Xenopus tropicalis: one gene and its partner. The protein of the gene in region 2 binds, or shares a complex with, the protein of the main gene of each other region. Links are inferred from orthologs where the notes say so. Each region holds a gene or a part of one and is shown on either strand. Other genes may lie near its edges.

Region 1 (4,415 bases), on a different chromosome or scaffold from region 2:
AGAGTACATTGTCCATGCTACCCACCTCTATTCTGCCCTCGGAATCAGTAGTAGGCGTTGGGTATAAAGGGCTGCTGGGGGTTAACTCCTTGCTTGAAGGCATTGCTGTGCTGGGATCTTTGCGGATCTCCTGTTCCCTTAAAGAGTCATTACTATCCAATCCCTGGTGATAGACCGGACTATCGTCTCCATCGTCCAGGGGTTCGCCATCTTCGGGGTTCGAGTAACTGTGCTCCCCGTCCTGCGAGTCCTTGTGCTGGGTTTGTCTCTTGTGCTTCATCCTCCGGTTCTGGAACCAAACCTTGACCTGTCTCTCAGTCAGATCCAGCAGAGCCGCTATCTCCACCCTCCTGGGTCGGCACAAGTATTTATTAAAGTGAAATTCTTTCTCCAGCTCCAGGAGTTGGGTGTTGGTGTATGCGGTGCGCAGTCTTCTGGATCCGCCGCCGGCATCGTGCAGCCCAGGGGGTTCTGTGGGGATAAAACAGGGTTCCTTTATCTAGAACCCACCATTTGTCCCACCATCTGTCCCACCGAGCACCTCTCTTAGGGAGTTAACTCTACTACTGCCATGTGGCCAGTGGATTTCTTCTGGCAGCTGGAGAGTTAACATTCCTCAGACTGTGCTGGCTACAAACTAAAGATGGATCAGGTTTCTATCGTCACTGTTATGGCCCAGCCATTTCTATATCATCTATCTATCTATCTATCTATCTATCTATCTATCTATCTATCTATACATCTATCTATTTATCTATCTATGCATTACCACTGCAGTTAAATACATTACCACTTACAGGATCCCCCCAAGAGTGTGGTTGCCCATCATCTATCTAGTTTTTCTGACCCTATATTAATCTCAAACAAACATATCTATCTATCTATCTATCTATCTATCTATCTATCTATCTATCTATCTATCTATCTATCTATCATCTATCTATCATCTATCTATCTACCTATCTATCTATCATCTATCTGTCTATCTATCTATCTATCTATCTATCATCTATCAATCTATCTATCTATGCATCTATCTATCTATAATCTAATTACCACTCCAGTTAAATACATTACCACTTACAGGATCCCCCCAAGAGTGTGGTTGCCCATCATCTATCTAGTTTTTCTGACCCTATATTAATCTCAAACAAACATCTATCTATCTATCTATCTATCTATCTATCTATCTATCTATCTATCTATCATCTATCTATCTATCTATCTATCTATCTATCATCTATCAATCTATCTATCTATGCATCTATCTATCTATAATCTAATTACCACTCCAGTTAAATACATTACCACTTACAGGATCCCCCCAAGAGTGTGGGTTGCCCATAAATAAGATGATATGGTTACATACAATGCCATGATTGGAGAAAATGTTCCCAGTAAAGATATCATTTCTAGATATATCACTTGGTGTGTTACATTCGTTACAAAATAGTAACAATATAGGCCCACTGTGCCCCTTACTTTCTATATCCAATGTATCCCACTTTCTCTATACAATGTATCCCACTTTCTCTATACAATGTATCCCACTTTCTCTATACAATGTATCCCACTTTCTATATACAATGTATCCCACTTTCTCTATAGAATGTATCCACTTTCTCTATAGAATGTATCCCACTTGCTATATACAATATATCCACTTTCTCTGTACAATATATCCCACTTGCTATATACAATATATCCCATTTGCTATATACAATATATCCCATTTGCTATATACAATGTATCCCACTTTCTCTGTACAATATATCCCACTTGCTATATACAATATATCCCATTTGCTATATACAATATATCCCATTTGCTATATACAATATTTCCCACTTTCTATATCCAATGTATCCACTTTCTCTATAGAATGTATCCCACTTGCTATATACAATATATCCACTTTCTCTGTACAATATATCCCACTTGCTATATACAATGAATCCCCTAGAATACCGACCTGCAGGAGACCCCCCTGCAGACTCAGGAGGGGGAATAAGGGCCTGGGGGGACCCTTGGCTGCTCTTCTTTGCCGATTTCTTCTCTTTCATCCAGGGGAATTCGGTAGCCAAATGGCCAGGCTGGACCTGGGGCTGCTGGAGCAGGCCATTCTCTGCTCGTTTTTGGCTTTTGGGCCGGATCTGGCTGTCGGAGCCAGGATTCAGGCTGGGGATGGTTTGCTCAAAAGGAGGAGGAATTAATGTCGAGTCCTTGATTGATGAAGTTTGAAATGTCTCCAGGACAGCAGGGAAGGACGTCAGGCACTCTGCGAGCGAAGGCTGGCTGTTTATAAACCCGATCTCCCTCTCAAATTCCAAATTCATGGCTGCCCTGAGCCAGGCCGGGCTGGGAGAGCCAAATTTAGGGTCCCCGTAATCCACAGGCCCTATTATTGTATATTGCTGATAAATCAGGCGTATGGGGACCCTCCTGTAATAAACTGAACACTGGGCGACTTGCAGCCAATTCCTGGTCACATGACCAGGGCTGACCAATGGGGAGCGTAGGCCTGCTGGAAATAGAAAGCATTATAACTGTGAATTAAATCCTATAAATGTATGTGAGTGTGTTTGGGGGGGGGGGAGTGATGCAAACTGCTCGATGATTAATGCGGGTAAAACTAAATGTGGGTATAACCACTGTAAGCAGAGAACACAGGGATTAATTCCTGTTTGGGAAGGGTTGGAAAATGGCACATTTCTCCATTAGCAATATGGAATGTAGCCTTTTCTGTGTAAACATGGTTATCTGATAGCCAGCGAGTTTAGCGCAAACAGGGAAATGCGGAAGGTTATCTGTCAGTAGCCAGGCGTTGCTAGGGGCCAAGCTGGGTAGCATTCAGGGTTATTTCAGGAAGGGCTGAGTGGCCCCTGACCCGGGTTATTTTCCAGCACAAGTGAGGGACACTTACTGCTTCTCAGGAATAAATCCTGCTGGAGAGGCCGCTGAGGATCTCTGGGAACCCTACCCGGCTGCACAAGGAGAGTGATCAATCTCACAAGTGGAAAGGTAGTGTCAGAAAGGAATTTCACCCATTATTGCAACCGACATGGGAAAGAAACCGAGAAAATCTCAGCACACACAAAAGAAAAAAATATTACAGCAGCAAAACGAGAGAGGAAAAAAAAAAAAGCAAGAGCTCAGTCTCATTGCAGCATGTGGACTGGGAATGAGAGACTCTCCCGAGCACTTCATGGCGGCAGGGAAACTTTGTGTTCATTTAAAGAAAAAAATGTGTGTGGGTGGTGGGTGTAAATCAGTGACTATTGTGCAAAGCTCTAGTAGGGCTGGAGTACTGACAAACCAAGGAATAGATGGACTTTACCTCCTAGAGATGCGCCTCTTTGTGCCACACATCCCCCTTGTTGGATCTCTTCATATTCTCTAACTTTTCTGCATTGTAGATCTGAGACAAGAAACATCATTTGGTGGCTTTGTTATTGTCCCCTCCGGAGCCAGAACTGCTAGAGAAATCCTGCCCCACGGCCCATGGAGAAATAATGTCTTATTTATCGTTTGGAGCAAGTTCAGATAAATTGGCGAGGTAAGGAACGCTTAACATTCGGGGATTAAACAGGCGTAAACAGGCGTATAAAGGCACACACCGACTATTTCTAATAGGGCAGCCTTATAGTATTCCTATAGTATTCCTTGGCAAAAATAAATAGAGAGAGGGGTTTAGAAAAAGGATAGATACAGATAGGTAGATAGATAGATAAATAGATGATGATAGATAGATAGATAGATAGATAGATAGATAGATAGATAGATAGATAGATAGATGATAGATAGATAGATAGATGATATATAGATATGGATAGATATAGATAGGTAGATAGATAGATAGGTAGATAGATAGATAGATAGATAGATAGATAGATAGATGATATATAGATATGGATAGATATAGATAGATAGATAGATAGATAGATAGATAGATGATATATGGATATGGATAGATATAGATAGGTAGATACATAGATAGATAGATGATATATAAATATGGATAGATATAGATAGATAGATAGATAGATAGATGATATATAGATATGGATAGATATAGATAGGTAGATAGATAGATAGATAGATGATAGATAGATATGGATAGATATAGATAGATAGATAAATAGATGATAGATAGATATGGATAGATATAGATAGATAGATAGATAAATAGATGATAGATAGATATGGATAGATATAGATAGATAGATAGATAAATAGATGATAGATAGATATGTAGTAAGTGTGGGTTATCAGGAGAATACAAGAACCTTATTCAGATAAAATTGCGGTGCCTTTATATTGATACATTTCGGTGATACATTTGGATAATACATTCCTATCACTAAAAGCAATAGAAGCCTTTGTGGCAGATTTCTCTCCCTGCCCCCGCAATGCTC
Region 2 (3,834 bases):
GGATTATGTGTAATGAACAAGCATTGTAGGGTTGGACTGTGCCTTCTTTCTATTTTACTAATTACATGTCACTTACATGGTATTTTAGTTTCAAACATTTAATATGAATTTCAAACACTTAGGGATATAGTATAAAACTGTGTATAAGGTTTTATGTCAAAAACCTTGTAAAATTTGGCGCAATGGGCACACCACTACTGGAATAATGAATAATACATTACAAAGAACTAATCTTGCCAGTTTTAAAAAGGTGTGCATATTTCTCAGTCAGACTATCGCCAAAATTATGCCATGTTTTTAAACCACCTTAGACCTGGGACAACCCATTGAAATTAATAGGACTAACTAAAAAGGTTGTGTAAAAGATGTCATCTTTATAAATACGCCCCTTACTATTGAATGCTCTAATTAAATATTTATGTGCAAAATGACAGAGACACCTATTTTTAGCAGGAGAGGTGCACCTTCCCATCTGTAATGCTTTAATCCCCTATTTTTTAACTTAAAGTAGCCAATAATAGATCTATTTCTGTGCCTTTCCACATTTAATTTAAATAAATACCACTGTACTTATCATATTACAATAAGTCATTCTTAAAATAGGACCAAATACGTTCTCATGCTGTTTATGGTGCGTTTCAATGATCTCCTTTAATAGTGTACTTTCTTCCTATAAAACTAATTTTAATGAGGTGCATAATGAATTATAAACCAGTTGTTGGGTCGTGAAGCGGATTCCCAGCCTTAATCAGGGTCCCCAGAGAAAAAGATTGAGGATCTGCTATAGAAGAATCCTTTGCCAGTTTGCCAGGAAATAATCGCAGTACAGTATTAGCTCATCACTTTCACAGGTTTGCAAGGAAAGCCCAAACCACTGGCCCGTAATAGATATATAACCATCAAATTGATCTGGAAGCTGTCTGCCCCGAAGCAGCAAATGACTTGCTGCTGTCTAAATGCAAAAGACCATATTTTGTTCCTTGTACAAACAAATGAATATTATTGTTACACAGATCATGACAGCAGAAGGCCTCTAACTTGAAAGTCCAATATTACTCTAACCATACACAAGTTTACCTTAACACTTATTGTCTATGTGTAGTCCTGGTGTTAGCTTAGATTCTGTACCCTCAAATTTATACTTTACTAATTTATAAGTATCCCATCACCCAAGGATACTTCACATATGCACATAAAAGGATTTGATCCATCCTTTTGGCCCTCATGCTGTCCTGTAGGATGTAAGGCAAAAAGAAGGGAGAAACATTGCAAATAAACCACTTGTTCACAATGGCCCTTTTTAGAGTGAGTAACTTGGTATGCAAATTTTTAAAACATAGACATTACTGTAACAGAAATGAAAACATGTGACTTTCGAAAACCTTATTACGCGTGTAAACTACAGTTCGACAGGTTGCACGTGGGAATTCTCATAGTAAACACCAATGACTTCCAGTCACTTAACATTCTCTACAGTTAGCACATTGTGTTTTGATGAAGGACATGGATAACCGAGGTTGTTTACAGCATAGTATATCAGTTATGTAGCCAACACTATTCAAGAATTATATAAAACATAATATTATTGGAAGTCATGAAATGATTGCCGTTTCTTTAAACATGTTGCTGGACTGCAACTTCCAGCATACACCAGCATCATACTTCAACATATAATCTGCATTGTTTTTTCCACACATCATGAAGGCATAGTTTGATGAAATTTTCAGTTTGAACACACACACAGCACAGTCAAAAGTTCACCACAAGGTGCTATATACACAGTTAGGCAGGAAGTTTAAAACAGCCAAACTGCCTGACCAAATGCAGGCAAGTATGGCTACATCTAGGCAAGTTTGATGACTGCATGTTGTCAGTCCAGTTGCTAGGTGTCTAAATACATGGCATCAATACTACAATAGATATAAAAAATAATCCTGCTACAGCAATGGAGCCCGGTAGATTTTGAACTGGTGACCAGAAAACTTCAAAATCACTGTCCTGCTTACAAAGAATTCCATTATATCATAAAGTATTCAGATTAATAAATGTGACTCGATGGGTAGGTGCAATCCTTTTAATTATAACTCTAAGTACGGTTGTGTGTGTGTGTTGTAATTCTCCATGACAGCATTTTGCAGTGCAGCTGAGAAAGCAGTGTGTTGGGACAATTTTTGTAGAAGTAACCCTTTGGCTAATGCCAGATGAGGCGCAGGGCGGATAAACTCCGAAAATTCTGCCCTATGCCTCCTACTTGTGCCTGCACCAGAATGAATGGAATACACTCTGGTGCAGGCACATGTAGCCGGAATATGCAAAAAAAAAAAAAAAAAAAAAAAAAAAGAGACTTTCAAACTTTCAAACGAGACTTTCAAACTGTCGCGTTTTTATGCGTATTTTGGCTACATGTGCCTGCACCCAGGCGTATTCCATTAATTCGGGTGCAGACACATGTAGGAGGCGTAGGGCGGTGTTTTTGGCAACTTTTTTTCCGCTTGCCGAAAATATCCACCCTACGCCTCGTCTGGCATTAGCCTTACATGGATTATGCCTGAGCTGCTCTGGCCTACAAATTTCTAAATAACCAGGTTAATGCATGCTCTGGCTACACATACATAATGTCAAATGCATTGATAAAGCAGTTAAAGACGATAATCATGGAATAATAATTAGTATTTTGAGTTAATGGTATGGCTACTTAAATTCCTATGAACTTGGTTTAGAAAATGCACTTAATAGCAAGAAAGAACATTAATCTGCACATATATCACAGTTTGTTGTAAAGCTATTTAAGTTTGATTTTAGTGAAACAAAGAAAATAAGCTGTAGCTCAGCAATCAATGTTTGTGAAATGGCTTGAAAGTCTGGGGTTGATTTTGTTATTAATCTGCCTATTATGCTGGACATCCTAGTCAATATCTAATAATATATAATGAAAATCAAAATTTTTAAAAGGAAAACAACATTCCAAAAATACTATGAACTTGCTGCAAAACACAAATTACAACCAGAGCAGTTCTTTCGACTGCTTAGCCTCAGGGCTGGCAGGCCCCACCCAATTGCCCATGGTCTCCATTTTTTGTAAACCATCTACATTTGAATACATTTCAGCCTCTGCATGTGTGGACCAGTCTGAGAAAACAACTGCACAGTACTGCTTTAGATCATGCTATTTCCTAAACTGCCTATAAAAAATACATACGCTATCCTGTTACTATGTGGCTAATCATTACCTGAGTTCTGTTGAAAGCCACTCGTGCAAATACTGCTTGCGAGATTCCTGCTCGTTTTAATTCATCACGTACCCACTGGTAGATATCGGAAGACACTTCTGTGTTGGGCGAAACCTGTTGCTCTAAAGGCTTGTTGATTGATCTACTGACAGGAGGAGGATGGTTCAAGTACTGTTGGTTTAAGGACTGTTGTGCGAGTAGTCTGTTTACAGCATATTGCTGGTTCAGTAACTGAGCCATTACCAGCTGCTGATTTACTAACTGAGGGCTGATGGGAGTAGAAACAAGTCCTGGATGCAAATTGGGAAGTGGTGTCCTCGCAGGTGGTTGACTACTGTGAGAAATCTGAACCGGGGATGAAGGGTTTTCTGGAGTACCAACAGAACCAGGCTGCTGACCATAGTTTACATGATTGCTACTTTGTTGAGAGCGTTCTGATAATTCTTCAATATCCACTATAGAAGTAGAAAAAAAAAAGTTATGTTTTAATAAATACAAAAATTTTTTTAAAAAAAGAAGATTCCAATGAAATAAATAACTGTTTTTTATAGATATTAGCAATACAAAGTGCTGTGTTAATGTTAATTAATTTTCAATTATCTTA

The links.
Region 1: satb1 (region 2) and hoxb2 share a complex: the UniProt entries of both Homo sapiens proteins name them as parts of the nuclear protein complex. The link is inferred for Xenopus tropicalis from reciprocal best matches to the Homo sapiens genes SATB1 and HOXB2.

Annotation. Positions count from the first base shown.
Region 1 is NC_030686.2:12,016,843-12,021,257, forward strand, and holds the start of hoxb2 (homeobox protein Hox-B2), read right to left. Parts: upstream 3,108-4,415; 5' UTR 2,924-3,107; intron 2,525-2,923; 5' UTR 2,337-2,524; coding exon 1,973-2,336; intron 472-1,972; coding exon 1-471. UniProt on the Homo sapiens protein: Sequence-specific transcription factor which is part of a developmental regulatory system that provides cells with specific positional identities on the anterior-posterior axis.
Region 2 is NC_030682.2:45,052,854-45,056,687, forward strand, and holds part of satb1 (DNA-binding protein SATB1), read right to left. Parts: intron 3,686-3,834; coding exon 3,231-3,685; intron 1-3,230. UniProt on the Homo sapiens protein: Crucial silencing factor contributing to the initiation of X inactivation mediated by Xist RNA that occurs during embryogenesis and in lymphoma.